4 linked regions of the Astyanax mexicanus genome follow. The protein of the gene in region 2 purifies or fractionates together with the protein of the main gene of each other region. This does not show direct contact. Links are inferred from orthologs where the notes say so. Each region holds a gene or a part of one and is shown on either strand. Other genes may lie near its edges.

Region 1 (7,904 bases), on a different chromosome or scaffold from region 2:
GGCTTTAGCTTTTTTCGGGTCAATGACTTTACCATTAAGCTTGTGTTCTTTCTGCTGAATTACCTGCAATCAACAGATGACAGTAGACAAGTTTAAGTTCCATATCATACAATAAACAATCCAGATGATACAGACATCAAAAACCAGTAGAAACTGAACTGTAAAGAACAGTGTTTTTTATATTCAGTTCTGGGGCTCTGCAAAGTTTCAGGTGAATAAAGCATAAAATCTGTTATTGTCACATTGCACACAGAAATATTTATTTGGTCATTTTTATTACAAATATATAATCCCAATATCGATAAACGCTACATAAAAATTGATACGGATGCCCACAATGGCTGTCTGTAGCTACAAAAATAAAAAAATATATTTTCCAGTTACTGCAATGTGCCCTAGTTCTTCACTTAATGTGGTTTGCTCTCTTTAAAGGGCCATAAAGTTATATGTTAATTTCGTGGCTTGAGTGCTTTAGAGCTCTACAGATCTGCAAAAGGGGTCACCATTTCTACAGATTTCATCAGTTTAGCTACTGAGAAGAGTTAAATGAGGTGTTCTTTAGTATTGTTTAAACCCTAGAAACCTGCCACCACTCCAACCCCTTGCAGAAAAGAACAGTAACCCCTGGTCTAGAATGACCAAAATATGAGTAAGAGCATAACAAAGGACACTACCTTTTCCACGCTTTCAGCCTCTTTAAACAGCACAAAGCCAAAGCCTCTGGATCGTCCAGTCATAGGATCTAGTTTTAAAGTGCAGTCTACAACCTCCCCAAACTTGGAGAAGTAATCTTTAAGGTCCTTCTTTGTTGTGTCCCAGCTCAACCCTCCAACAAACATCTTCCTGTAAAAAGACAAAAGAGAATATGGCAAATGCTGTTTCCATATTAATATACTTTTAATAGGGGAGGCAGGCCTTTAAGCTATTTCAATTTTATTTTCTTTAACTTTAGGTGATTGAGAAAGGGGATACACAGTTATGCTACTCTTATTCTGTCAGTGCTGTAAAAAAAAAGCTAATTATGTGTAAAAAAAAAAAAGTGTAAATAAAATGTTTAACCACTTATTTACAAGCCTGTCAAGTCAAATTAAATCAGGTTCATTGCTAAATGACATTAACACAGGTGTAAAAGTGAACATCTTTGGTGCCTAGACCCTCACAATTAAAATAAAAATACAATAATAAAAAAAAACAATAAAAAACCATGTATAACCAAAAACTTAACACTATGCATACATTATTATGTTTCCAACATTTAAATAAAAAATAAGGTATTTTTTGTGTCCAAAAGAAGAATAGGGTGCAAGAATAGAGTGAAATGTTTGTTTCTTCTTCTTTGTCCTTTTTTTTAATGACCACAGATAAAAAGAAAGATTGCACAAGGCTGACTGTAAGGAGAGCAAATTTCAACATAAACTAAAAGCCAAATCCCAGAGGAAAGAGGAAATTTAATCATCCAAAAACAGCAAAACAGGACACATAGTAACAGACATTATGGTTTTATTATATATGAGAAACACAAAATTCACAAAACAAAATAAAACGTGTCTGTCAATGAAATGTTTTAATCTAAGTTTGCGTTATTAACAAATAACAAATAAATTAAAAAAGTAAAAATAGCTTGAAATTCAGGCGTAAATTCAGACTGGTCAAATTAGCCTACATTTACGCATTTTTGCAAAAAAAAAAAACCCGTGTAAAAAATCTAATTATCATAGCGTGTAATGCAGAGATTAGGTTATCTAGCTGCGCCTGTGTTTTAGCAACGACTTCACTGGCGTTTCCAACGCCGGTAAAATAAAGCTAACTAACGTTAGCTTAGTTAACTAGCTTTAGTTAATTACTTTCCTGCTAATTAACGTTATATAAAAGTTTTCCCATTATTAACGACGCTGTTTAACAGAGTTTGTGGGGGATAGTTTGCAAATATATACACAATATACGCATTAAATTAATAATAATTCGTTTCATTGGGTAGAAACTTGCTAGCATTCGCTATCTAGCTTTGCAATGAATGCAATGTGGACAATCCAGTTCCAGAAAGTAAAGATCCTTTCCGGGATTTTGTTCTAACTAGGGCAGCCCTGCTGCAACGGAAACGAATTCTGCAGGGCTGACCAGGCAGTTGGAGCAAAATCCTGGAGTAGATTTTCACTTTTTGGGAAAAGTGAGACTGGTTGACTGGTGGACTGGTTTAACAGCTTTGGTTGGACAAGTGGCTGTATAAGCACACCGAGACTCTTTGTAGAGGTTTGTAGTAAAAATAAAGACTTTTAAGTACTGATATATTTAATCTCTAATACTAAATTTACAGTAAGTACCGAATAATTAGCTTGCAAATGTAGCTGGACTATAAAAAAAATCCTGGAGCAGATTTTTCACTTTCTGGAACATTTTTTTTTACTATCTTTTTTTTTTTTTTTTTTTTTTAGCTAAAATGACAACTGGCTCAGATATAATCGCATACACACCCCAAAGAGAGGCTTAAGATGCAAATACAGACTTTAAAGTACAGATATTTCTAATTATTTAAGAATAAATGTCATATTATTAGCTATTATTAGGCAGATAGCTAGCGTTAACTAGCTATAGCTAGCCTACATGCTCAGCCACCATACAAAGCTCAGGCTTCTCCACCACCTCTATCATGAGCCCCACTTCTTACCCTTCATCCTCCTCATTTTTACTGGCATCAATCTTCGATCCTTCAGCGTCTCCTGATACACCGGCATGTATCTGTTCTTCTCCACCCCCCTCCCCGTCCTCCTCCATCTTCATACTCGGGTCTTCCAGGCCAAACAGCTCCTCCGACATGTTTGGTCGTTTTCTACGGGAATCTGGCAACTAACTACTAATGTTTCTGCTAACCTGCTTCTATACTAATCACCAGCAAACTCAGCTAACACAGATTTGCATCTACTCTCTTAGAAAATAATAAAAACTGATTTAAATCCCGGCAGGAATGTAGCCTAGCTAACCTATAGTTGATCGGTTTTGCCAGCTGTCAACTCCTCGTTGCCACACACCGGTGTCCTGACGAATTGTGTTACCCCGCCAAACCGTGCTACCCTAGTGTGTACTGTATATACAGCTCTGGAAAAAATAAGAGACCACTTCAAAATGATAAGTTTCTTTGATTTTACCAAATTATGAAGCTGGATGATCACAAGCCATTAAACCAAGCTGAACTGCTTGAACAAGAGTGGCATAAAAACTGGTCGAGGAGAACATTCCAAGAAAATACAATAAAACCAGGGTTATTCCACCAAATATTGATTTCTGAACTCTTAAAACGTTATGAACGATATGAACTTTGAATTATTTAGGATCTGAAAGCTCTGCATATTTTTGTTATTTCAGCCATTTCTCATTTTCTGCAAATAAATGATCTAAATGACAGTATTTTTATTTGGAATTTGGGAGACATATTGTCCGTAGTTTAACGAAAAAAAAAAACAACTATGTTAATTTTACTCAAATATATACTTATAAATAGCAAAATCAGAGAAACTGATTTAGAAACTGAAGTGGTCTCTTAACTTTTTCTAGAGCTGTAGATAGATACATAGATGGAGGGGTAGATTTTTATTGATGGCTTTGGGAGGGTTCCCTCTGCGAAATAAATTTTCCAGCAGCATCATTACAGTAGACACAAAAATAGATAAAATAAAAAATATAAAAAAGCTACGAAAAAAAGTAAGAAAAGAAGAAAAGGTGTTGCATCATTGCATATTTGGATAAAAATAAATTAAAATATGTTTATTTTTAAAAAAGTATCATATTAGGTATATTTAGAAAGCCTACATTAATGTATCAGGGTAAAGTTAATGCAATTTAATTAAGATTAGTATTTGTATGTATACGTTTTATTATTATCAACTGCCATGTGAAATGCTTTTTAAAATTCAAGCAGATATATTTAATGCACAAAAATGCATTAAAAAAATAAAGTGCTGGTCCGCGCATGCGCAGTGCTGTAAGAAACACATATCGATGGGTAGCAGAACTCTGCACAACACCGACGCTGTCGCACAAAATGGTGGCACAGAGCGAAAGGAGAGGACGACGGCAGCCAGTGTAACTTTCTCAGTGTTTATTCTGCCTTTATTTCACTCTGAATAAAGTTAAGAACCATTTAAATGGATTTGAAGATTGGCCTGAAACCAGTTTACCCATTTATTGATAATATGGAATGAGAATAAAATCTTTAAATTATATAAATATCTAGGTTAGTCTAATGACCATGTAGTCTATTGACCAATACATGCGGTTTCAGTTTAATTACTCAAGTAATAAACTTAGGATGTCTAGGAGACACTGGCTGTGTCTTGACATCTCAAACCAGTGAGGAATAAAAAGGGTTTCACCCAATGAAATACATTAAGTTGGGTCTGTGTATTGTTTCATTAAAAAAAAAAAAAAAAAAAGACCACTTGAGGCTAAATGCCAAAACCACACAATTTTCCTGCAAATACTTTTTTTCTCACCCTCAAAAAAAAATGGTGCGAAAAAGAAATGAGAATTGAGTAAAGATATTTTTTCCTGAAATTAATTTTTGAGGTGCAGAAATTATAAACTAGAAGCCAGAATGAATCTTTACTATACAAAACGGGAGAAACACTAAATTCAGTTTTACACTTCCTTTTCTATTTACAAATTTAGAAATTTGAACTGAAACTTTACACTGACCAAGGAGCAAAACATTTTTTACAGCCCCTGACCCCATTTTAGGCTCTAAAAGGTTTAGTATACCTTGTTTCAGGGTCCAGAAGCACCTAATACACATTTTTAGCAAATTTTATGCTTTCACACACCCACTGCAACTACTTTTTATGTTAAATAGACTAAATATATAACTAGTTTTAGGAAAAAGAAAACAAGATTTGTACATGGCAAGGAGCTTCAGGACCAGATATGGGAAACCTTTTTTTACATTGAGTGAACTCAGTAAGGCTTAAAAAAGAAAGCAACAATACAAGGTCACTGTTTTGATACCCCAATTTTAATATTCCCTTTATCCAAAACTGAAGGAAAAAGACAACAAAAACAAATGACATTTCCAAATAAAGATATAAGAACACACCAGTACAACCCTACAGGTTCTACCGCATCAACGCACTGGATAAGAAACTTGGAAACAATATTTACAAGGTCAGACACACTCAATGTCTTCATCTACAGATGACAACCAAATAAAGGTACTTTAAAAACAAGATGCTCTTTGATTAAGAAGGACAGGGTATCCACAAGCTGCCTCCTGGGTACAAACTCAGTCAGCCTGCTCACCTAAAAGAGAGGAGACAGAACAACAATCAATAATTTCTATAACAAGTATTTAACTAAAATGATCACCTTCCATGTTTCTCTGTTTAACATCTTGAGCTGTCGATTTTAAGCTATTAAACACTTCACCATTCAAAATTAAAGATCATATGTACAACTTATGAGTTTCAGAAAGCAGCTCTTCAGCCAGGAAAAGCTTTAGCTCAACTGGGTTGGTGGATAATTGCACCAAAACAGAGCACTTCCAAACAAAGATAATTCACTATCCTATCAGATATAATAGGACTTTTACCAGTCAGTAACTGCATTCGAGTTGGTAGTTTATGAGTCAGCTTTTTATGGCTTCATAAAACTGGTTTACATATGATCTTTATAAGCTATGTTTTAAGGGAAAAGCTTGAGGTGTACCATTTGAAGTTCTCTATGGGTTCTAAAGAAAAAGCAAGCATTATGAGTTTCTGCAGTTTACAGGATTGGAGACCGTTCATAGGAGAACGAAAAGAAAAATAAATAAATTAAAATCACTGATGCTCCAGAACTGAAATACAAGAACACTAAAATTAATAAAAGAGAATACAACAAACAGTTAAATCACTTAGGTTTCACTGTTAAATACCTGTAAAAAATTCATTTAAAAAACTGTTAAAGAAAGCATTGACAACTTAAGGGAAAATGAGCGATCTCCTTTTTAATGTCTGTTCTTTGTTTTTAAACGCTGGTACAGGAAGTTTGAAGAGACCATACCACAGGACAGCGTTTTCTTGTGCATGCCGTGCTCTCTGCCCGCTATGTGCGACGCCCAGAGAATTTCGTGGTCAGGTGACACACGGCCTGCAATGAAGTCCCCCGCTGGCAGGTACAAACAAGTACAATATCAGAATTAGGGAAAGAATGAAAAAAATAAAATAAGGAGGTGCCCTTACTTTGTACCCTTTAGCAGTACTTTACCTGTTAGCATTGCTATCAACACTATCTTATTTCCTTATGATCACCTGTTAAAAAGCAGGGAGGAAAATGGAAACCAATCTACAGAAAAACGCTTATGTTTTTCTGGAGAGCTTTAAAACCAAAAATAAGGCACACCACTAACACAAGCATTATTAAATTATAATTAAAGATCTATAGACAAATCCCCAAATTACTCAACATGGGGTGCATGATAATGCATACCACTTGTTTTAGGATAATCAGTTTGTGTCTATTGATCTTTAAATTGTATACAAGAGGACAGATGTAAGGCCAAAGATGCAGTCTTACCATAACTCTTAGCAGGTCATGTCATTTCGTCAATATGGCTGGTAGTTGTTCTGATGATTTCCACCCTCCCTGGAGGCCTTGCCGTAACTGCTGGGCTGACCTATTAAAAATATATATATATATTTTGTCAAATGTTTAATGCATGTTTGTAACAATAAAATAGCAAAACTCACAAATAAATAAAAAGTTAAGACTTACTGTTGTAGTCATCATACCCTTGTCCATATCCGTAATTCTGATAGTTGTAGCCTGAATAGTCGTACCCAGAGTAGCCATTATATCCCTGGTTGTATCCATTGCCATAGCTACCATAGTTTTGTCCGTAATAATTGTTGTAACCCTGGTTGTATCCTTGACCTTGCCCTGCACAAAGGAATGTAAATGGTTAGAATCATAGAGGGAAGAACTCAGTTTTAGTACTTTCTGCAAAACCCTCCCTCACAGTGGTTCTCTGTTTTGGCTAATTGTAAATGCACCCATCTCTTCCTCAAAGAACAGTATAACTGCATGTTTTCAATCCAATCAAGCAGCTGTTGGATCAGTTGTTTTCAGACTTGAGTTAAGGGTTTGAGGAGTGATTCTCCTTGGTTGGAATGAAAACCTAAAGCCAAAACAGAAAATACAACTGACTGCTGCTTTAGACAAAAGACTACATACCTCCTCTTCCACGACCCCTGAATCCTCCTCCTCTTCCTTCTCCAAAGCCCCGGTCACTTCTGCCCTGCTGCTGTCTGTAGACTTCTTTAGGCTGGGCAACTTTAACTTCACACTAAAAAACATACCCACATTAAAAAAAAAAGTTTAATTTAGACCTTATTGGACTAGCCATGCTCGTAAATAAACGCAGTAAACCAACCTTTCCACTTCCAATTTGGTGGTATCTGTTTTCCAAAAGCTTCTGAACAGGCTCTTCTTCCACATACGTTACAAAGCAGAATCCTCGCCTCTCATTTGTCTTACCATCCACAGGAAGTTCAATGTTTTCAATCTGTTAGGAACACACATGCCAACCACTTTAGCACTAGCATGGACTCATACAAGTTAACACTTCTGGAGAAACCAAGTACTATAATGTGTTTTTTTTTTAGTCCTAGGCCATTCATATTACTTACAGTTCCGTAATTTCCAAAGTATTCCCGAACTTGTTCCTCTGTTGTTTCTGGATGGAGACCACCAACAAACACCTTTTTGGGAGGTTCCTTCCCCTTCATGGCCTTGGCTCGCTTCGGATCAATAAGCTTACCATCCAGTTTGTGTTCCTTCAGTTCCAGAACCTGAGCAAACAGATATTTTTCAATTGTTCAGCTTTAATTATTGTACGATTGTAGTAATTTACAGATAAATCCCAATGTACCCATGCTAGC
Region 2 (8,168 bases):
TGTGTGATTCATACTCCACAAAAGCAAAACCACGGTTCATACTTTTGTCTGCTGCGCTGGGGTACACTATAACATCCACCACACCGTCTGTTACCTAGATTAGATTTTGAACGAGAAAGAAATAAAAATTAAATACAAAACAGCAAAGTGGCGAACAAACAGGAACACAGTAGCCTAAACAACAATCCCTGATTGTGACAATTTATCATTTATGAATTTACAGTCTGTTACAACACTTGATGGCAGCTGATGAATTACAACACAGTGCAAACGATTAAACAGGTGACCTTTTCTTACTGACCTTAAATAGTAACTGCATTTAAAAACGAGACAACAATCCTACAAAAAGTCTATACATTGTTTTCATAAACATTCCTATCTTCAGTAGGAATGGGCGAAATTGACAACAAGTATATTATAATAAATATTTCTTAATGTTAAATGCTAAATTGCAATTCCAATATCACTATAAACAAACAAAAAAAATCATTTGAAATTGTAATGTGCCCTGTAATGAGCATCAATTCATGACTATATGCAGTAAAAATGCATACTGAAATATCGGAAATGTTTTTACAAATCATATCACCTTTATTGAAATATTTGATATTGTGATATATACTGATATTAAATCATTGTACAGCCAAATTGTACAGTAGTTTTTTACTAAAACCATCAAATCTCTTAAACACCCCCCTTCGCAATAAGTCCAGTGCAAGTTTTCAAGCTAACAGCTGAAATGAAAATATTCACCTTAAACTGTTCTGTTTTACATGACATTGTTTATCTATAGCAAGTTAAGATTTATCTTGCTTAAATCTGTATTTTCGGAAAGCTAATGAGGCAAAAAAACGAAGCCCACTTTCTATTTATTACACTCAAAGAAGCTTACAAAGCACTTTACAGGAGATCGATGTGAGATATGACAAACAAACAAATAGAGGTAAATATTAATGCACCAAATACTGGCAACCAAAACTAAAACTAAAAGTACTGAATAATTTATAGCAAACAATAGCTCATTTATTGTAGGTCATATTGCAGTGTTTCCTTTAGATTGCTTTACTTTCAGAAAAGACATCAAAGTGTCTCTGCTAGGATGTTAAAGCGTTTTAATTATCTTTTTTCTGAAAAGTATCTATAAAATAAATTTAGCCTTTTGAGAATAGTGGCAAAACATATACATATAAACCTATAAAAAGGGAATTAGGTATTTTGTTCAATTTCAGACATGTTCAGGCAGACAAATTTCCATTACAGTGCATCATTAGTGGCAATAAAGCATGTACCCAAAAACATACAAGATTGTAGGATCTGGTAATCCTCTTTTTAAAAAAATGGAATAGAGAAAAAATAGAATGGCTTGTGGTTTTCAAGTACTGAACTAAAACTCTGTTTTCTCCAAAATTATGATGGGTAACATTTTAACTTTAAACAATGAACTATAATCCATACATGATTGCATATTTACCATAGATAAATAAAACCAAAGCTCTCTCTCCTAACTTCTAAATCACTGACCTTCATCATTTCCTCTTGTATCTCCTCCTTCTTCATGTCTTTTGGAATGGACCCAATGAAGAGCCGACAGTTGTTTAGACTCACACACACTCCTATAAACTTCCCGGGACGGATCTCATAGTGGTCAAGCAGATAAATGGCTTGCTGCGCAGCTTCTGGAGTGGTGTACCTGACAAAGGCATAGCCACGGTTTTCCCCGCTAAACTCCATCATCAAGCGGAACTCATAGATACAACCTGCACGTTCAAACAAAGGCACCAGCTCGTCTTCATACATGTCCCTGGGAATTTTCCCCACAAAAATCTCACAGCCTCTCGGAGGAGGGGGACCTTCCCAGTCTAGAACACAGAATCATATTTTTGTTCATATGAGACATTTGAATAGTAAAAAATATTTTAGGAATGTTATACATATTAATATATTGCATTTGAAAGCAAAGGCTAGTAACTCAACATTTAACCACAGGTGCAAACGAGCTAACTCCTGTTCTTAATCCCACATCAAGAGGTTTTATTTATTTATTTTTATTTTTTAGGTTACTAAAAATCATTAAATTCTTACCTGGTGGTGGACCCCCAAATTTCCGTTGACCATTTTCTTGAACCATACCGTAACCTGTTTTATCCATTAGGGCCAGAAGATTAGCTATCTTTGGGCTTTCCATCTTAATGTCTTGGTGAAGATGACAAACACAGCCTTCTTCCCCTAGCACCTTAGAAAATACAACAGAAACGTCAATTAAGTACACACAGTACTTAAGCACTCATAATCATTTTTAATAGTTTAATATCAAATAGGTAAACATCCATTTAAGAACCAACAATACAAATAAACTATAATAAGAGTTATGAGTTCTTACAGTTTTAACAAACCTACATCTGATTAAATATAATCAAATAACCATAATGACAGACAATATTAAACTGTATCGGCAAGGTAAGAGCTTTGTTTCATAGATTCTGAAATTACTTTTCAACTTTATAAATGTCAATGCATTATACAAACATGTATTCATTTAATACAACTATCTAGATCCTTTGTAAAACAGATATTTGTTAACTCAAATCAAGTACCCAGCTTATTTTTCCTTTTAATTAAGTAGATGACATAAAAATGGATATGTAAATAACTGTAGCTGTGGTATCTTATTATTTATCTGATTTATCTGATGTAGTCATGGCTAAAGTTAATTCCACATTAGTAATACCTAATAAATACTCCTGTACAAAGTAAATTTAACATGCTGTGGAAAAATAAAGTTTACCACCCTTGTCAGTATATAAAAAACATTAAAATCAATTTTTTTAATAGGATGATGCATTAAGCAATTGATAATCACAAGCCATCTGAACTGCTTGAGAGGAGAACATGCCAAGATGCATGAAAACTGTAATTAAAAACCAGGGTTATTCGCCAAATATTGATTTCTGAACTCTTTTTCTTTGCATTTTTGGGGTCTAAAAGCTCTGCATCTTTTTTTGTTATTTCAGGCATTTCGCATTTTCTGCAAATAAATGCTATAATTTTTTTTTTATTTGGAATTTGGGAGAAATGTTGTCCGTAGTTTATATAATAAAATAATGAGCTATAATAATAACTTATATATATATTTTAGTTGGAAGCATAACAGTCATGGCCTTCCTTTAAACTCACTTTTACTAAGTAAAAACTGGCTCATCTAACCCCACTCTCCCTTAGACATGTTTAAATCCACCAATTATTTCATAAAATTGACTAAAAAATGTTCAGCAGTGTCGCCCTTAGCCGCCAAGCACCGCTGTTGGCTAAGCTGAGGTAATTTAGCAACGCTAGCTAGCTAGGCTAACGCTCGTTCACTAGGTAACCTAAAGCTAACCAGCCTAGCCAGTTCTCCTAACTAGTTAGCCAGCTAACGTCAGGCACTAGGTAACCTACCTGATCACCTAGCTAACTATAATATTCAGAAATACGACACCACAGGTTATCCAACTCACCAAGAAACATAAATTCAGGCAGTTAGGAGATTATAGATACCCAATAAAATGTTCTTTATTTGAAACAATATTAGCTAAGCCACTTAATGATTTTGATGATCAGTTTAGCGAACCTAGCATTAGTTTTTTAGCTTTTAGCTATAAAAAAAACTTTATAGAAAAAAGTAGGCGGCGCAGAAATTCGCCTTTTTCCCTAAACAAGTAGCTAATTATTATTTTTTGGTTATTTGGTAGCTAACTAGTAATCTGGGCTACCTGTTCTCCAGTTTCTGTAGGTTTAAAGCTGAGATCCCCCTGGTAACTATAAACCTTAACTAACTAAAGTCCTCCAGATCAGCCAGCAAATCAGGTTCAACTAAATTAACTGAATATTAAAACCAGCGGCACACCTGCAGTCTTACCAACACATATTACATGCTTATATACGTTTATATTCTAATATTATAGCCTGTACTGTGTTCTTGCATTGTAGAAATAATAATAATAATAATAATAATAATAATAATAATAATAATAATAATAATAATAATAATAATAATAATTGTTTACATGTTCTAAACGTTTAATTATAGGAATATCAGATTATTCTATTCTATTATAGTATTTTTACTATAGATATTATAGATATCTGTAACTGTATTTCTAGTATTTTTTTTTCTAGTAAATAATGAATAATAATTAAATGTAGTAATATGTCTAGCATAAAGCTCTGAGACCATGTAAATTAATTGTAACATAAAGTATAACTAGTAAGAATAAATGTATAGATCCATAGATATGATATTATCACTAGTAAAACATTTAAAGCTGATATCTCAAATAAGAGTTTTTACAGTAATGTATACTGAGCTTGTACATCAAATTATAGAAATTATAATAATTAACTAGTCTAAAAAAATGTGACTAGAAACTAAAAGTTTAAATAGTTTCTATTTTAAATAAGACTTTTAGCAATCTAGCTTCATTCATATGGAGCTTAAAGGATGACATAATTCACGTCTAAATTTTGTATATCTGAATTTGGTTTACTTGACCTTTAATCAACGTGAAATATTTATTTTTATTTTTAAAATTTAAGATCTATCTGATTCAAAATTCAGAATTAAGAATTTAATCCATAGCTCAAACACCCAGGGTCCCCAGGAAAAAGTAAACTTGAGTGACTGAGATTTCAATTAGAAAAAAAAATAAAAGTGGATCTTTTTAAAATCAGAAAAAAAAACTGATTTTTTTTATCTGAAAATGTATGGATATAGATTTTTTTAAATTATTCAATAATTAATTAATTAATTCACATTGTTTTTTTTTTCAACAGCAAATTTTACCTCCTCAGAAGTTAGTTTAAAACACAAAAATCTAATCAAAAACAAAAATTCAAATATGTGAATCCATCTTGGTAAATGTTAAGTAAATTGAATTTAGATATAGCTTCAAAATTCAGATTGAAAAGTTTATATCAGTTTTAATCTCATAAATTAATTCACTCTATTTAATATGGGTTCTCTATCGCGGGCTTCCTCTAGTGGCTCGCAGCCTTTTACTGATCTAGCCAGGAATTTTTACTGCGCATGCGTACTATGTTTCTCATTACAAAGTGGAGCTGTACTGCGCATGTCTGGCCCGCTGACGACGCTGCGCCCTGCACCGCAGCGCTGAGATTAGCGACCTTTCTCAGCTATTTTGTGTTAATTTTCCGCTCTGTGTTTCAGCAAGATACCTGCTGAGGAGGTGAGTTATCCGGCGGAACTAGTTCTGACTGCGTGTTGAGTATTGCCAGCACCGTAAACAGTACAGTACACTCCGTCTGTCTGCACTGTGTTCTGTGGTTAGCTTTAGCTCTTTAGCAAGCGCTGTTCTTTCTTATACAGTTACCTAGCTAGTGTTAGTTAATGATGTTTTTATTGTTTATTTACTGGTGGTCCTGCAAGTATTAGTTAACCTATATTGCGCGACTTCATCATCGTGCTATTTCTGCAGTTAGTACAGTACAGTGCTGTGGTTTTGAGTTATATACTGCTATTATGTTAGCCGGTGTTTTGTCGAGTTCTTTTACCCATCAAAATGTGTTACTTTCTGTTCTGCGCATACATCGATTTAGAAATGTTAACGTTTTTATGTGAGTTTTTTTTCAAGACAATTTCTCCTGATAAGTGATTTAAATCATTTTTTGTGATTTTTGTTTAGCCAATGGAAGTATCCTTCATTTGGGCAGCTTTACCCTAAATCGACAGAACACCATTAATCTTACTAGCTAGTTAACTAGCTAAGCTAGCAAACCCAAACGTATCTGGCTGAGATGTTCTAGCTACGCTAGGCTAGCTAACGTAGTTAACCTAACGTTAGCTGGTTAAGACCTAGCTAAAAGTTTCGAGACCTTTTCTCATTCAGTTCGTTTTTTTTTTTTGTACATTGAAAAATTAATATTAAAAACTGTATTAAAGCTATACTGGAACGCCTGCAAAATTATTTTGTAAACAAATAGTGTTAAACAACTATAAAATGTTTTATACTTTAGATTCTCCTAAGTATCAAATTTATGATTTATTTTTTATTTATAAAATTTAAGACAGATCTGCACACTCTTGGAATTTTAATCTCAGCTACTTCATGAGGGAGAGTCATCTGGAATAGTTTTTTTTAGCGTCTTAAAGGAGTTCCTAGAGGTGCTGAACAATAGTTGCTGCACAATAGTTGCTGCTTTTCCTTCACGCTGGCTGTGAAGCTCCAGCTCATCCCAAATCACCTCAAATCACCATCTCAGTTCATCAGGTTTTGGTCAGGGGATTGTGGAAGACACGTTTTTTAATTACTTCGTAATTCCATATATGTCCCTTAAATGTTTTCATGTATTTAATATTAATCTACAATGTAAAAAATAAATGAAATACAGAAGTAAAGAAAAACATTGTATGATAACATGTCCAAACTTTTGGTATCTTTCCACAAACTTCTGTAATGTCACAACATTTACTATTTGTTTATTTGAGTTGCATTTGTTTTTCCAGAAGATCTTGTATTGATGATAAGAGATTGGGACCACTGCATAACCACGGTTGTTCAACAAATAAGAACCTACTGACATAATCACCCATGTAGTAATTATCCATTGGGAAGTTCCTACCTATTTGTAGGAGGTGTCATTTATTTTTTTCCAGACAGCATAGTTTATCTAAGTTTTGTGAATGATATCTAAAATGATATCTTTTGTATGTTTCCAGGGGGACTCTCAACAATGGCAGACATCAAAAACTATCTGTATGCCTGGTGCGGAAAGAAAAAATTAACACCAAACTATGACATACGAGCAGCTGGGAATAAAAACAGACAAAAGTTCCTGTGTGAGGTAAACTACACGATACCTGTTACACATTGACTGTTATAGCAACTCTGTACTTAATACTTATTATGTCTATTCTCTTGCAGGCCTGTCACCATAATTATATTGTGAATTATATTGTCTCAGAAATAATTGTTAAACTATAAAAAGCATTTTATGCTACGGACATAATGATAATGTAATGAGATTACACGTTTAGAATGTTTCAAAGATCAACATTTTTTTTTTCTCTTTTTTTTGTGCCTCATTTAGGTACGTGTTGATGGTTTTAATTACACTGGAATGGGAAACTCCACCAACAAGAAAGATGCCCAGTCTAATGCTGCCAGGGACTTTGTGAATTATCTTGTCCGTATTGGTGAGATGAGTGCTTCTGAAGTCCCTGCTTTAGGGGTAAGTATGATTTTGTTAACCATGTCAGTTTGTGCTGGACAGTATACTGGTTTGCCGATATGCGCTTTTTACATACCACTAGGCACTGGCAAAAAAGCAGATACGACCCGCTAACTAACCTAGCCAGTTAGCATAACAAGCTAACACACTGGGTTAATGGTAGCTCAGCTCTGTCGAGTCAAACGCTCTGTCCTCTCTGGAAAAACATGAGAACAGCACTTTATCTAAGGAGCTCCTGTTGCTGTTCCTTGCAATAGCAGTGTTTTTGTCTGAGTAAAATAAGAAAACAACAGCAAACAGCAATTATTTACTCAAAAAAGAGAGGAATGGAATTGAGCAACCGATCCACAGCTTGGAAAAAAGTTTCTCTCGTCCCCCAGAGGAGCCCAAAATCGGTTGTGGGTACAGAATAATTTATTCAGCACAAGTGATAAAACTCCCTAAAACTTTGGATATGAGGTGGAAAAAAAAGCTTCAAGAACTGTTAATATAGCCATTTTAAATATAATAATACTGCAGCTTGAAGAATGATGATAATGTACACAGAATTTAATTTATTTGTTAAATCGTCAGAATCTTGAAAAATACTGTGATATACATTTTTGGTCATACAGCCAAGCACTAATGTCGGTGTTACTGCTGAATATTTGCATTAATAAAGTTGAAATAAATGTTGTCATTACACTTGGCAATGTAAAATAACTTAAAAATTGGCAAAAAAATTGCATTTGTAAATGCTGTTAAGACTATATAGGTGTCTCAATTCCTATTCTTTAATATATTTATATATTTTGATGTCATCCCTCCTGTTACCAGGCCAGTGTTCCAGATGTACCTGATTGCAGCAGTTCAGAAGGTGGTGGGTTTGGAAGTCTCCCACCAAATGGCCCCTTACCACCACATTTAGTTGTGAAGAACGAGTCAGGTATGGCTACTTAATTTTA
Region 3 (7,615 bases), on a different chromosome or scaffold from region 2:
ACATACTGAATGCAGCATCATCTCTCTGTGTTGTTAGTAATGCACTTTTATTATAAGTAAGACCCAGTGCTATAATCTCATAACAACAATCTATTACACCAGCTTCCAGTTCCACTACAGTTCAAAACAAGTCATTAGACATGCTCTCTCTTACCTTGGAGCAGCTGTGACAGTAGCTCTCTCCATTCATCCCTGGAGAGAGGATGATCTCCCCTGTTGGGACCAACTGAATCTTCAGCTCCATCATGATGGCTGCTGTCTCCTTGTGTTCCCTTCTTCCTCACTGACAGTGTGCCTGATCCTTTCACACCACTGTCGTTCCTCAGCAGATGCTGGAGATGGTTGGAACAGAGTAAAAACACTTTGCTATGGCCAGTAAAGTAGAGAAGTAGTGAAAACTGAGCAAATATAAGCAGTGAAAGCTAATGAGAGACAGGGTGGAGTAAGTAGTGTTACCTGCGGCAGTAAGAGAGCTACTGCCAGCTTCCTCTGTTAAGCAAGAGAGAGATATGTGGGGATGTCCGGGCCTCTTCCCAAAGCCAGCCCCAGTATAATTGATGTTCCTTCTTTGCCGCTCCGCTCAGGACGGCGAGGGTTTGCCGCCAGGGTTTCCTCCAAACTCCAGCATCCTGTCCTCGACATTCTCTGAGTAAACACCAGAGGAAGCCACGCTGCTTCCCCTTCATATACAACATTAACTTAGTCCTTACACCATACACTACTTTAAGGAAAACCTTTTTACAATTTTCCCTAAAAACTCACATCCAACATTTGTATCTACTGTTTTATAGACAGATAAGGTTGGTGGCAGGATATGGCACCATTAGGCAACCACAAGCTTTCACATTTGATAGACAGGCTTTAAATATCTCCATCTCCGCTGACCCTCAACCTGACAGGCCTGTGACCGAGACATTCCTGTTCCTGTTCCTGAGCAGCGATTAGACTTGCTTTCTTAAGCTCTCACAGATAACACAATGTTAAAACAATATTTAATGTTAAATGGTTGTGAAAATTTTGAAATGTACTCATCCTTCTGCTCTTTGAATTAGCATTTGAAATTTCATCACCATACTGTTGAATCAGATTGGTAGTGGTGGGTAACATTCTTTATACTCAGCTTTACTACAGTGATGTAAGTTTATTGTTAACCCTTTGTTATCAATAGGATTTTCTAGTTTTAGCTACGTGTAGTAATTGCTTTTTGTTTGTAATTGTACAGTTCCTACTTCTCAGAGTTGTATATTTAGAGAGAGAATAAAAATAAAAAAATTACTTTTTTTATGATGGTATACAGTTTTTATTCCTGTTTTTTTTTTATACTTTAATACAATTTTGAGCATCCCGACTGTGAGATATGGTTTATTACAGGTTGAACATTGAAACAACTTCGCCATATACACGTTTAACTGATTCAACGTTAAAATGCCAGTTGGGTACAAATTAATACTTCTAGTTATTTAACAAGGTACACACATGATAGGCTCCAGCCCCCCCATTTTATTTCAAGCCATATTTCAGACAAAACATATATTAAAGACTGAAGGGCTATAATGAGTTTGTGTGGGGGTGGGGGTGTGTGTGGTACCTATTCTTGTCAGTGATGGGTGTTCCATTAAAATATAGCACTGTTAAAAGAGGAAATGACACACGCACACATCCTATGACCTGTGACACGGCTGAGACATTCATGATTTCTGGGTATCAACAGGAAACAGCAGTTTTGACGTCCCACCGTGATGAAGTGAGCCTTGGCAGAAGCATAGCTAATGTCACTATGTGGTTTATTAAGTAAGAAAATTAGTAGTTGGCATCTCATATTCACGGTAAACCTGGGTCAACTGCATTCTTAGCTTGGTCTGAGGGATCATGCTTGTTTAAGTTGTTGTGTACTGTATATGCAGTCATGTCCTAAAGTGTTGGCACATGTGAAATTTCTCCAAATTAAAAGGATTCTACACATGTTTATTTATTTGTGTGTATTGGAACAACACAAAAAGTAGAGAAACAATGGAAAATCTTACATTATTTCACACATAACTCATCATTAAATTTGAAAATTGCCATACCAGTATAGGGAGCAGTTTCAGAATGCTTCAAAAAGCATCCAGTGTGATAAGATGGATGGAATCAAAGTGCTGGAGAGTTTTGAACTGGACAGCAATGAGTCCGGACCTAAATCCTGTTGAATACCTGTGGAGAGATCTTAAAATTCCAGTTGAGAGGTGTAAGAAGCTTGTTAATGGTTATAGTAAGTATAAAAATATGACTTTTGGAGAACATGCTTAGGTTTTAAGTTGAACATTAGCTGACAAGATTCTGAGGTTCAGTAACGCTACTCTAAAATGCACTTTGTATTTATAGGAGCAAAAGTGGCTTTAGCCTAGCACAGTTGGATTAGCTTCCTCTTATGCTAAATATGAATTTGCAGTATCTTCTGCTGATACTGTCCCATGAAAAGCCACAGTCACAATGGCCTAGTTCAGGTAGCAACCAGTTTTCTGTTAACTAAAGTCTGGTGGTGGTGATGTGCATGCTTGTCTTAGAAAACTAAATAAAGTATTAATAAACATCATACTCTCCCAGCGTGGCCAATATGTTTTACTGCATTGTAGCTTTGCTTGTGGGCTGGATGTTGGATTGGGCTAATTGGTTAGATTATGCCAGATTTCTTTTTACATAAAAAGACATCAGTATTTGACAGTGTCATTTCTATGTACCAAACTCAGCTATGCCAAGGTCAACACAGTTTTCCATTCAAGGACACTTTAAATAAAGTTTTCAAACTACATCAAACTCTTTTGTCTTAAACCAAAAAGGAAAAGGCTGTTTATCATGATGTGGGTCCTTTAACAGTGATTGCCAAGAGACATAAATGCTCATTAATAAACAGGGAAGTTGAAATGCCATCTGCTGTGTGTGACAAGTTACCCATCAAACAGAGACATCTTTGCAGGAGGAAGCACAGTGAGTGTGCTTCCTGTCCTCTCCCTTCCATCTCTTTTTTCCATCTCTGAAATGCCCACCCCAAGTATACACTTTTATAGCTCAGAGGAGCTGGTAAATCCACTCCCCTGCAAGGACACACAATTTGGGTGTTGAAATAAATGGTCCATATTAAAATTTAGACTACAGAGTTAAAAGCAGCAGGAACTTTCAGAACATACCCCTTATAAGGCTGTAGAGGGTGGCCTGAGATGGGGATGTAGAGGAATGGCATCCTGTTTGGGAGAGCTGCCAGCTGGAGGGAAATTGAGAAGAGAAGTTATGTCAGGAGATGACAGGTGAAGGGCACTACACAGCTACTAAACACTGTGGCACAGCAGCGACTATAATGAGCTGAGTGACAGAATAATTTTGAAACAGTATTGTCTATTTTTAAATTAAAGGGTCAGAATACACAATATTTCACTGTCACTCTGTTCCCACAACATTACAGTGTGTCCTACTCAGCTTCCTTTGTTGGCTTTAGTATTCTGCCCACAGGAAAAATGAGCAGTAGCCTCTACTGGGAGTGATGATGAGTGTTTGATTTGTTGCCTGGTGCAGTGCCATATCTTCCATGATGGAAACTGTGCTTAGTAACTTCATGAGCAAAACTAAGACCCATGAGGTAAGGCTGGAAAGCAATGTTATTTTTTATATAGAGGGCCCACATATTATATTGTGTATGTAATATAGTTACACAATTGCATTATGACATTGTGTAGACTCTATTTTAACCAAGACATAATAAAACTACATAAAAACAATATTCATTATCAGTAGCAAATGTTTTCATATATTTACCTTATTATATATTTAACTGGATATTTACTCACATAAAGAACAATGTATGGTCGTACAGCTTTAATATTGTAAATGTAAACTTATTTTTTTATTATTCTGTTCATTACAGGTACCTATGCCCACGAGTTGCTTTTACCGATAACGCCATCTGCTGGGGACTCTTCACATATAAATGTCTTGACGTGACAAATGTAAATTCGTAAACATATAAATTATATATAGAATTAAAATGAGGAAATACATAGCTTAAAGAAAATATTAGATTTTTTTGTTTAGTAACAACAACAACAACAACAACAACAACAACAACAACAATAATAATAATAATAATAATAATAATAATAATAATAATAATAATAGTAATAATAATAACAATAATTATTGTTATTATTATTATTATTATTATTATTATTATTAATGTTAATATTAATATTAATATAAATATTATATATTTTTTGCCTTAACTTTTTATATATTTTTTTCAAATTTATTTCTTAAATGTGCAAAACATAAACATAAAAAATAAGACATTGTTAGTTTTCGCGCTATATTTTCTTTAAGCAAAATAGTTCTTCATTTTTATTGTTTTTAATATATTTGAACATTAAATTAAATGTAAAATAAAACAACTGCGTTTACAAACTTTTAACGGGCTCCAAACGGAAACTGTATTATTTCCTCATCCGGGGCTTTGGATACGCATGTTTTAGTGGTCCTGCGTAAAGGGTTACTCCTTCTTTGCGATTCAGAGTAGGAAACTTCGCACTTCGCGGTGGTGAATTGTGTGTTGTTACGCACAACGTGTGGAATCGTTTCTCGGAGCGCCATTCTGCAGGAAACTCCGGAGAAACTCTGGGTTTAAACACAGTAAGATGTTTTTAATGCTGTATTAAACTGAGGCGTTCTCTGGGTATAGTTTTATAGATTCATATTTGCTAAATGTTTGTTTATGGGCATGCTCTGTAACCTGTGAGAGAGTTATAGCTAAACCCGTTAGCCTCGGCTCGTGCTTTGTTACGTAGTTAGCTGAAGCTAGCTATCGTGCTAAGGTAACGCTAGCTTGGTTTAATCCAAATACTATTGCGACTCGTATTAAACACAGTTCGGCTCTGGTTTATTTTTATTTTGTGTTGTGTGAGAATGCGCCTGTTGGTTACAGTTTATAGCTAAACAAATAATTTGCGGCTCGTTAGCCACTTTGTTAGTAGCCAGAGCGTAGCTGTAGTGTGGATAATGCTTTAGCGTAAGCGGGTAAATTAGTTGGCATGGCTAGCTGTTAGCTAACGCCGGCTAGGTTAAAATTGTTAGAATCCAAACAACAATAATTAGAGTTTTGCTTTCTAGTTAAACTTTTCTTCTTTCCGACGGTCACTGAAGGTATCTATTTATTTTTATATTGAATATGAGGCAATGCTAGTTAGCTTAGTTAGCTAAATATTTGTGTTTGTAATAGTTATCCAGCTAGCTAGATAATTAGTGTTACCTTAGGTTAATGTGTCCAATGTGTGTGTTAAAAGCAACAATGCAATTAAAAATGCTTTAAAAATGTTTTCAGTCTAAACTGAATTAAACTTTTTGTGTAAGTTACTTAAATGTATCCATTTGTGATTAAGACAATACAATACAATATATGTGGTGAAAAAATATTTTATTTTACTTTAACCAGTATTTAAAGACTAGGATTTTATTTAAATAGCTTAACTTGGAAGTTTTTGCAGTCCTTAAATATTGTGGTTTTCTGTTCCGAAGGTGGAGAGCAACTCCTTTCTTAGTATTGTAGAAGCTTATATAGCAAAATGCTTTTTAAGGATCTAGCTATGCTATATTGCGGTTTTATAAAAATACAAGACTCACCAGACGTCAGTGGTCCAAATTTTCATATAAAAACGTATAGTGCTCTTATTATTAATTATTATTATTGTTATTATTATTATTATTTTTTTGATGAAAATTAGAACATTATGCTTTATTATTTTTGATCCTATTCCAGGTATTCTGATGCAGCATGCAAAAAAGTTAATTTTATTATTATTATTGCAAAGCAGTGATTTAAGGGATTGTGTAATGTGGCATGTTTTATCTGATCCACAGCTCTGTGAAAGTGTGTTAAAACTGCCAGCTTTGTTCTTTCTGTTTTACATATTCATTTGTTTTGCCATTATGCCATCTTAGACCTAACTGTTCTGCATTGCTGTCTTCCAACAGTAGACGCTGCCATGGCAGCTACATTCCCCTACAGAGGTGTCCCTGGTGTTCCTCCTCCTGCCCCGGTGCCAGACTACATGTCTGAGGAGAAGCTTCAAGAAAAAGGTTTGAATGCACGAAAGCAATGAATTGTTTATTGAACGTGTGCACTATAAATCCTTGTGTTATCAGAATTCTGATACACTTTTGTCTGTTTTAATTCCAGCCCGGAAATGGCAGCAGCTGCAGGCAAAACGCTACTCGGAGAAGAGGAAATTTGGTTTTGTCGATGCTCAGAAAGAGGACATGCCACCAGAGCATGTGCGGAAAATCATTCGGGACCATGGAGATATGACCAACAGGAAATTTCGTCACGACAAACGAGTCTATCTTGGGTAAATATAGAGATTTGTGCACACTTTTTAAAATAATTGTTTAACTGCAAACTTTGTGAAAAAATTGTAACAACTGTTTTTGTAACAGATGATGTGTCTGTTTTTGTCTCTAGGGCTCTGAAGTACATGCCTCATGCAGTACTGAAACTGCTGGAGAATATGCCCATGCCCTGGGAGCAGATCAGAGATGTGCCAGTGCTGTACCACATCACAGGAGCCATTTCCTTTGTAAATGAAATTCCTTGGGTCATTGAACCAGTTTACATTGCACAATGGGGGTAAGTTACCATTGTTCCAATCAAGCTTTGTTTTTTATCAAATGTATAGATTTATTAAACTTTTGAGATTAATCACTTCTTTTTCTGTTTGACGCTAGTACCATGTGGATCATGATGCGTCGTGAGAAAAGAGACAGAAGGCACTTCAAGCGTATGCGCTTTCCTCCCTTTGATGATGAGGAGCCCCCACTGGACTATGCTGATAACATTCTGGATGTGGAGCCCCTGGAAGCCATTCAGATGGAAATGGACCCTGAGGAAGATTGCTCAGTTGTAGAATGGTTTTACGAACACCAGCCACTGAAGGATGCTACCAAGTGAGTCTTTGTCACAATCAACAAAAAAATAAATTTTAGTTTTTTACCACCTTATCTCATTATGTCTCTTTGTCTTTTAGATATGTCAATGGGACGACATACAGACGTTGGCAGTTCACCTTGCCAATGATGTCCACTCTTTATCGGTTAGCCAACCAGCTGCTAACTGATTTAGTGGATAGGAACTACTTCTATTTGTTTGACCTGAAGGCCTTCTTCACTTCAAAGGCCTTAAACATGGCCATTCCTGGAGGGCCCAAATTTGAACCCCTGGTCAGAGACATCAATCTACAGTATGTATACCTGCATTCTTTTTAAGTACACTGTACTAGATTGAATCGTCTCTCCTTTAAGGTCTTTTGAAATTTATGCATGATTTAAGTTTGCCAACTTCTGTTACAGGGATGAAGACTGGAATGAGTTTAACGACATCAACAAGATCATCATCAGACAGCCGATTAGAACAGAGTACAAGATTGCTTTCCCATACTTGTACAATAATCTTCCACATCACGTCCATCTCACTTGGTAAAAAGACCTTTCTTTTTAATGTTTCTTGTGTTTGTGATTTAAAATATAAGTTGATTATAATACATAATTACGATACTGTTTACCCAGGTACCACACTCCTAATGTGGTGTTCATCAAGACA
Region 4 (7,932 bases), on a different chromosome or scaffold from region 2:
TCTGATGCTCAATATTAAATAACTTATATTTGGATTATAGCACAATTCCCCACAATTGAGTGGGGCGTCACAATTCGCTTATGCCACAGGTATGAACATTTTCTTTATGCAGCAAAGAAAAATACATTTGATTAAACTGAATAAAAAACTGAAATTAGCCTGCACAATGAACCTTTGAGTCATGGTTGCTTACCAGAATCTACTGATCGCGAAGAGGTAAGGCCCTCACACATCTCAGCAACTACCAAAAACAAAATTACATTTTTATATTTTTTATTTACACAGCCCCCCAGACAAACTTGAGATACTGTGGAGTCAATTACACAAGACATTAAACAGGCTTGTGGACATTTCTACAAAATAAGTTTGTGTGACAATGTCATGATCCCCTTATCAGAGAGTCGAATAAGTCTATAGAGTCTAACTTCTAGTGATTCAAATGATTTACAAATGAGTATGTATTAAGTCTAGCCATTTGCACAAGACTATAAATGACTTTTGTTTGTCACAATGATGTGCTTTAGCTGCTAGATTCTCAAAAATGCCTCAACCAAGCTTATCAAAACCAAAAATGTGTCACGTTTCAAAGATAGGAAAGAGCAGGTCCCATCCTGATCTGTGCTGCAGACTCTCTCACCCCTTTATCAACAAGACCACACCAGCGACTTAACAGCCTGGCTGTCTACCCCACCTACACAACAGCACTGGCCCTGTTCCCAACATGCAAGGGCAAAGAAGATATTTGTAGTTACTTTGAATGGGTTTCTCACACTCAGGTTAAGTCTAAGACCAGACTTAATAAGATGTAGAAGTTTAGTCCTAAAAATAATTGGCCTTTGAACTACGCTCACATGTTAGAAGAACTCAAACAAATTCAATTTTGTGTTGACCTGCTACTTACAGTAAAACTAATGTGAGCATAATCAATATGCACCAGTTGAGACAAGAATTGAGGTTGGCTTGTTCTTACATGGGGAAAAAAAACAAATATATTCTTGTATTAACAATTTGTAGACACTAGTGAAACTACAACCAGCTGGACCAGGCTAACCAGCTACCTAATGGGGATCACTGAATCAGCTGTCTGGCGTTAATTCTCCTTACAGATTACCTTTGGTAGAAAAAGATTCAAAATAAATTCTAGTACCTAGCTTGTTTTAACTGTCCAAACAATATTTACTGAAAACTTGTATTTTAATTTGGGGTAGGGCTGGAAGGTTAATTAAAATAATTGACTTGTTTTTGCTCTTAATTAATTTTCTGTGGGATAATCAAGATTGTACATATTTACATATAGAAGCTGCCAGAAGAAATCTTAGCAGATAGACATTTCCTTAACTGACCAAAAAAGACGTTATATTTGAACCATGTTTCATACTAAAACATTTTGAAATTAAAGGTAAAGGAAAAAATAGCTTGTGTATCACTTTAAATTGAAAGATCTAAAATCTAAATAGAGAATCCCTCATATATTTGAAGAATATTGAGAATCATTGTTTCACAAAATCCCCCAGAAATAGTTTGGGGCAAAAACTTTCACCTAAAAACATCAGAACCTCTGCATTAAAATGGTGTACTCGACTGGTGTACTAAGTTAAATACTTCTTAACTAGCTTTACACATCAGGGGTAGAAATGCACAGTAAAAATAAATTAGATTAAGAAATATATAACTAGCTTTACCTGACCATTGAAACTGTAGTTAGCTAGGTTACAGTGAGGAAAGGACACATAGCAAAGCTAGCTAAACCTAACCCTAATTATTATATCTAGTTAACTGGTGCAAACGAGAAGCCATAAACGGTTTTTATATAATTAACTTAGTGTTTCTAACATATATATTTTCCTTTTAATATAAAGCAAGGTGATCTGCTAACACTGTTTACTGATTGGTGTACTACATAACTTACTTCCTAGGTAAGTTAGCTGTACAGATCACATTAGGCAGAAAAGCACAGCAAAATAAAACGTAACCTAATTAGACTAAGAGAGAAATAACCTGTGATAGACCTATTTAACTAGATTAGTAAATCACTAAGCTAGCTTTAACTGACCACTGAAACTATAGTTAGTTAACTAACTACAGCTATCTTAGCTAGGGTTAACTAGTTTAAACTACAGATAACGTAATAAGATAACTTAGCTAAGCTAACTTAATTAGTACAAACGACAAACTACAGTTTGTGTAGTCGGCGTAGCTATGTAAAATTATGTAACGCTATCTCAATCTAGCTAGGTTAGCTAGAAACTTTGTTTGTTAGCTTAGCTTACTTAGCTATCTTAGCTAAGCTAACACCACCACTTGCCAGCCTCGTTAGCTAACCAGTCACAAGCGCAGACAGCGAGCTAGCCTAGCCTAGCTTAGCATTAGCCGTCTAGCTAACAATAACATAGCACGGCCTAGCTCACTAAACAGGCGGATTTATCAGCCAGGAGCTCTCAAACACTACAGATTAATAATTTAATCTATTACAAATGTTTATAATCTAAATCTTCTAAATACCAGGCCACAGATAGGCGGTGTTTTCAGACAGCAGATACAAATCTACAGCCTGTAGTTAGCTAACGCTAGCTATGTGGGTAGGCTTAGCTTTAATTCAGTAGCTTTAGTTAAGCTAGCTTACGATACTCACCCCCAGCTGCTCCGCTCGGATACATTTTGGCGAGTTCTTGTGCTTTTAAACAGACCTCGCCGCTCGCACCGCGCTCACTTTCGCTTCCCGACCGCGGTGAAGTGCATACGAGAACGGGATAGTTAGACTGCGGTGCAAAACGGCTGTTTAATCTCAGATTTCGGAGGATAAAACGCGGTTTTAGGCGAGTGCTGGGCTGAAGTAGCTCCGCGGGTCCCGCTGCCTCCGTCCCTCCTCCTCCCCCATCACCAGCAGCACCACCACCACAACCGCACCATCCGCCTGCCCGCCGCTCCGGTGTTCTGAAAACCCGCGCAAAAACTACACCACAGCGCTTACTAAGAGCTAATAAAATATAGAGAGTAAAAAATTATGTTTTAAATATTAAAATAGCACGTTTATAAAAATGCAAAGCGACCGAAAATTAATAAAAACAAGTAAACACTTGCGCGAAGCTGTGCGTCACTTCCGAGCCTTCAGAGACTCTCTAAAGAGGAGAATACCCACTGAAATATCCTAACCAACAACCTCTTCACTGTTTATCAGCCCACCAGTGGGCGCTCCTGACTGAGCGCTAAATTAATGGGTTCATATGGAGCAATTGAGCAAAATCATAGTTTATAACATTGTATGTTGCTAACTCTGTCTCAGACCCCACTCTTCTGATTGCAGAAAAGTAAAATCTTCTTTTTTTATTATCAGCTTTCGGCAGCTGATGGCAAGCTGCATGACCGGGATTCGAATCAGCGATAATGCCCACTTAATTGAGAACATCTTCAGTTTTTATTGGGCCACCATTGGACAAACCTGACCAAGATCATCTCAAATCTAATAAAATTTATTAAATAGCACTTGTATTTTGAGGTTATCACAGTGAAGGCAGTTAGAAAATTACTAGTTAGAGTTCATGTAAACTTTGATGTTCTTGGTAGTGGGGAGTGAGCTACTACTGTGGTGAGTGACAGGGAAGCCTGACTTCCAGGGACTTCCACCAGTCTGGCCGGACAGGTGACAGGAGACCCTGAGAGTTGAACATCCGTCGGTATCAGGCCGGATAGGTGGGCAGTCAGTAACTCGGAGGAAGGCAGAAAGATGGAATTTATGGAGAAAAGACAATATGCAACATTATCAGAGTGTGGCTAATGGCTGTGTCAGATCTGAGTATAACAGCATGAATAAAGGGAGAGAGCCAGAAGGTAACATAGACACAAAGGCACCCTGAAACAATGGCATCCACCCACCCCACAGTCCACAAACCTGAGTGATCGCATGCAGTGGTCAAGACATCATGAAAGCCAAAATATGCAATCTTATCTAAAGGGAAACATTAATTACCAAAAGCTAAACTAATCAAGTACGTTTTTAGTCTAGACTTAAAGATGGAGAAGGTGTCCCAAACATTTTTGGGAAGATTATTCCAGAGTTAGGGGGTTTTAATGAACAACTAGAGAATTTAATGAACAACTAGAGACCAGCAGTTTGTGATCTGAGTAATCATGATGGTTTCTAATAGGAGATGAGGTCTGGCAAATGGGTTTCTATAGAGCAATTGAGCAAAATCATAGTTTGTAAATGTTTGAACATGTTTACACTGAAAAATGAATTCATTTATTCATCAACACAGACATACATAGAATGTTTCAGCACATTTTTTTTTAAAGTTTTTAAACTCCAGTTATAAACCCTTTAAACGTGCTCTGGTTGTATTTTCACTCTCCAGAATCAGCTTACCAACCAGTCAGCACACAGTATAGTAATGCTAGTGTCTCTTTTGTCCAAAAACAGAAAAATGGAAAAATTGTTTTTTTTTTTTTTTTTTGCGAAATACTTCCACATACTTTCTGAAAGTAAATTAATAACATGGACAAGTAGTTCATTATTATTTTTAATTTAAGTTTAACCGTTTAGCTTCATTTACTCTCATTTATTAAGGACTCCCTCTCAGGCTCCCTCTAGTGGTGTGCGCTCATTTTTTTGCTGTAAAGGTTTTGTACAGGAAGTGGGTAAGCTCTCCATAAAGAGGCTCTGCAACAATTAAATTAGGCTGCAAGCAGAACAGTTTTGTAAGCTTTTAACTCATTATAGTTTGAACCATCTAACCACGTTTAAAACAAACTTACCAATTATTAAATAAAATAAACAAATTACACCCTGCATAGCTGATTTTAACTTTAATAATACATTTATATTTTTTTTAATTATTTTTTTAATAATCTAAACCATGATAGAACAAACAATTGTCCATATACTTTGATTTAAATGTTAAACATATTATTCAAGTAATTAAAATTTAAACTTAGAATATGTATTTGTCTGGTGCATGTAATGCATGGATAGTCCACCAGGGAGCAGCATGTGAAAGCATGTGTCAAAATTATTTTGTTATTTATCTAATTGTTTAATCAGAAATTTATAAAAACACAAAAACACAAAACACTTCTTTCAAAAATTATATTTTATTTGCATTTACTATTAAGTAGTTTTTCTTATTTTAATAAATTTACTATTTTTTTTTACTAATATCTGAAATCATTCACATTAAAAAGTAAAGTAAGAAAGTAACAGTAAAAAAACTGGTAACTCCTTACACTCTGTTAAAAAGTTAAAAATCTTACTAAAGTCATTTCAAATTTAGAAGTCTGTGTGCAGAAAGTATTTATGTATTTTTTTTATTATTATTAATATTATTATTGTTATAATAATAACAATAATAATAATAATAATAATAATTATTATTATTATTATTATTATTATTATTATTATTATTATACATAAAATATTTAAAAGTACAGATTATTATTATTTAAATTATCATTTACACCACCCGCAGCATCCGCAAAGCAACCAGCATTGTGAATGTCCCCACTCATCCCTCACACGAACTGTTCTCCCTCCTGCCTTCGGGAAGGAGGTACCGCAGCATCCGGTCCAGCACGACCAGATTCTGCAACAGCTTCTACCCCCAAGCCATCAGACTCCTCAACTGCAGAGACTGAACTGATGGTTTTTCTGTACATGCACACACACTCTTACCCCACTTACCCCAGAAAATGGAAAGCACTAAAAACCCTACTACCTCACTGGACTCTATTGCACACTGTGTAATAGAGGTAATTACTACCTCACTGGTCTTTTTTGCACACTTTTTGCACACTGCATAATTTGCACACTGTCTTGTTATTTATTATTCTTTGTCTGTATTGTGTTGTATTGTCTGTCTGCACTTTTGTACTGTTGCACTATTGTTCTGTCTACACTGTGTTTATGTGCACCATGGTCCCTGGAGGAACGTTGTTTCGTTTCACTGTGTACTCTGTATATAGCTGAAATGACAATAAAAACCACTTTGACTTTGACTATTATATCTCCACCACGCGGTGGCGCCACTTTACCGTTAGTAAATCAATACTATCTTACTTGGCGTCTGATTTAACAACGTGACTGTATTTATTTTTCTTTTTACATGTAAATCATTTTCTATTAGCTTGTAATCCGTAATGAAGCGCCCTGAGAAATTTAAAACGATGTGGATTCATTAACTAAAAGGGCAACGTGTGTAACAATAAAGAGGCAAATCCGGGCTTTTGATTTAAACTATATTAAGGCTTATATGATGTAAACGTAAAATAATGTGATTGAGCCTGTAAATGTTTTACTGCTTTAAAAAAAATGTGTTTGTGTAGTGTAGGACTGAACGAAAGGGTAGAAACATGTAGATTCATTTATATGTATGCTAAGACTTATTTGAAAAGCGTTTGGTTTGTACTTTACACGCAGCATGGCTCTGTTAATCCTTTTTTTAACGTTAAAAAGAAAGAAAATGTCGTCTCTAGCCCATTGACTGTTTATAAATCCGCTGTATAGTTGCTCCCGTCAGGCCGCAGTGTTTTGCTCAGTGCGTTAGGGAGTAGCTGTAGTGCGCGTCGTGGCCAATGGAGCTGGATCCTCCCTGCAGTGCGTAACGGCGCCCTTCACGATTTAACCAAGTGTTTGCTGCAGGGCTTCCAGCAGTCTTCAGGAGCAGAGCGAGCACACACCATGCGAGTGTAAACTTCAGAGACCTGCACAGAGCTACAGCCGCTGCCTACTGCACACACACATACACACACACATATATATATATTCACTCAAACAAACCATGACTGGAGTATTCGACAGGAGGATTCCCGGTACGAAAGCTACAGATTTCCAGAACGCGTTCCAGCTCTCCGCCATGCACCACCCGCCTCAGGAGTCTCCCACCTTGCCCGAGTCCACCGCCACGGACGCGGGCTACTACAGCCCGGCCGGAGCGCACCACGGCTACTGTTCTCCAAACTCGGGCTCTTATGGGAAACCTCTCAACAGCTACCCGTACCAGTACCACGGAGTCAGTGGATCCGCGGGAAATTACTCTGCCAAATCTTACCCTGACTACGGCTCTTACGGCACTTCAGCTTACCATCAGTACGGAACATATAGCAGAGTGCAGTCACAGCCCAGCCCGCAAGGTAACTATTATTATTATTATTATTATTATTATTATTATTATTATTATTATTATTATTATTATTATTATTATTAATGCTGCTATCACTTGTGTCTGTATTATATTTAACTTATTTAACCTTCGCGTTTTTATCATTATTAAACTAGAGCACTTTTATTTTGGTTCTAATGATTATTTCCTTATAAAATACGTTCATTTTTGTATCTATATATTTTAGCATTTTAATAAATAAAGCTTTGTACGCTGTGTGTTGCTAGGTTTTGTTAGATTCTTTTTTTTTTTTGTTAAATAAAAAATAAATAAGAAACGGGTAAAATTTAAATGGTCGGGCATTAAGATTAAGATTACATATAACGTAGGTAAATAACATCGAATAAACTGACTTTTTAAGTGTAGACACGTATACAGGTATATGTACATTAATTTAATCTATGTAACTTTACTATATGACCCGAATGGAAAGTGTTTACGCAGTGCGCGTTTATCGAGTTGCCTAAACCCTCTCCTTATTTACTCTGTGCGGTTCAGTTGGGTTCTACTCAGTTAGAGTTAAAGAATAGTATTTTTCTTTATTCTCTTCATCACTCATATTCCTCCTCTCTGTGTTTGGTGCGGTAGAAAAAGAGTCGGTGGAGCCGGAGGTGAGGATGGTGAACGGTAAACCGAAGAAAGTGCGGAAGCCCCGGACCATTTACTCCAGTTTCCAGCTCGCCGCGCTGCAGAGGCGCTTCCAGAACACCCAGTATCTGGCGCTGCCCGAGAGAGCCGAGCTGGCCGCTTCTCTGGGCCTCACCCAAACACAGGCACGGAA

Evidence for each region.
Region 1: the proteins of dhx9 (region 2) and hnrnpd purify together in Homo sapiens (affinity purification with mass spectrometry; 3 studies listed by BioGRID and IntAct, with this or other methods). This does not show direct contact. The link is inferred for Astyanax mexicanus from reciprocal best matches to the Homo sapiens genes DHX9 and HNRNPD.
Region 3: the proteins of dhx9 (region 2) and prpf8 fractionate together in Homo sapiens (co-fractionation; 3 studies listed by BioGRID, with this or other methods). This does not show direct contact. The link is inferred for Astyanax mexicanus from reciprocal best matches to the Homo sapiens genes DHX9 and PRPF8.
Region 4: the proteins of dhx9 (region 2) and ago2 purify together in Homo sapiens (affinity purification with western blotting; 5 studies listed by BioGRID and IntAct, with this or other methods). This does not show direct contact. The link is inferred for Astyanax mexicanus from reciprocal best matches to the Homo sapiens genes DHX9 and AGO2.

Annotation. Positions count from the first base shown.
Region 1 is NC_064427.1:26,840,089-26,847,992, forward strand, and holds the start of hnrnpd (heterogeneous nuclear ribonucleoprotein D0), read right to left. Parts: upstream 3,052-7,904; 5' UTR 2,815-3,051; coding exon 2,666-2,814; intron 844-2,665; coding exon 675-843; intron 64-674; coding exon 1-63. Other genes in the region: hnrnpdl (heterogeneous nuclear ribonucleoprotein D-like), read right to left, coding at 6,570-6,640, 6,739-6,903, 7,198-7,309, 7,397-7,528, 7,653-7,814. UniProt on the Homo sapiens protein: Binds with high affinity to RNA molecules that contain AU-rich elements (AREs) found within the 3'-UTR of many proto-oncogenes and cytokine mRNAs.
Region 2 is NC_064415.1:50,994,596-51,002,763, forward strand, and holds the start of dhx9 (ATP-dependent RNA helicase A), read left to right. Parts: upstream 1-5,075; 5' UTR 5,076-5,222; intron 5,223-6,712; 5' UTR 6,713-6,726; coding exon 6,727-6,837; intron 6,838-7,083; coding exon 7,084-7,224; intron 7,225-8,040; coding exon 8,041-8,149; intron 8,150-8,168. Other genes in the region: probable RNA-binding protein 46, read right to left, coding at 1-94, 1,522-1,859, 2,083-2,185. UniProt on the Homo sapiens protein: Multifunctional ATP-dependent nucleic acid helicase that unwinds DNA and RNA in a 3' to 5' direction and that plays important roles in many processes, such as DNA replication, transcriptional activation, post-transcriptional RNA regulation, mRNA translation and RNA-mediated gene silencing.
Region 3 is NC_064425.1:24,553,001-24,560,615, forward strand, and holds the start of prpf8 (pre-mRNA-processing-splicing factor 8), read left to right. Parts: upstream 1-4,546; 5' UTR 4,547-4,656; intron 4,657-5,994; 5' UTR 5,995-6,005; coding exon 6,006-6,099; intron 6,100-6,199; coding exon 6,200-6,368; intron 6,369-6,481; coding exon 6,482-6,646; intron 6,647-6,744; coding exon 6,745-6,963; intron 6,964-7,043; coding exon 7,044-7,256; intron 7,257-7,365; coding exon 7,366-7,491; intron 7,492-7,581; coding exon 7,582-7,615. Other genes in the region: myo1cb (myosin Ic, paralog b), read right to left, coding at 155-247. UniProt on the Homo sapiens protein: Plays a role in pre-mRNA splicing as core component of precatalytic, catalytic and postcatalytic spliceosomal complexes, both of the predominant U2-type spliceosome and the minor U12-type spliceosome.
Region 4 is NC_064410.1:49,162,596-49,170,527, reverse strand, and holds the start of ago2 (protein argonaute-2), read right to left. Parts: upstream 3,063-7,932; 5' UTR 2,658-3,062; coding exon 2,633-2,657; intron 242-2,632; coding exon 194-241; intron 1-193. Other genes in the region: homeobox protein Dlx5a, read left to right, coding at 6,771-7,122, 7,740-7,924.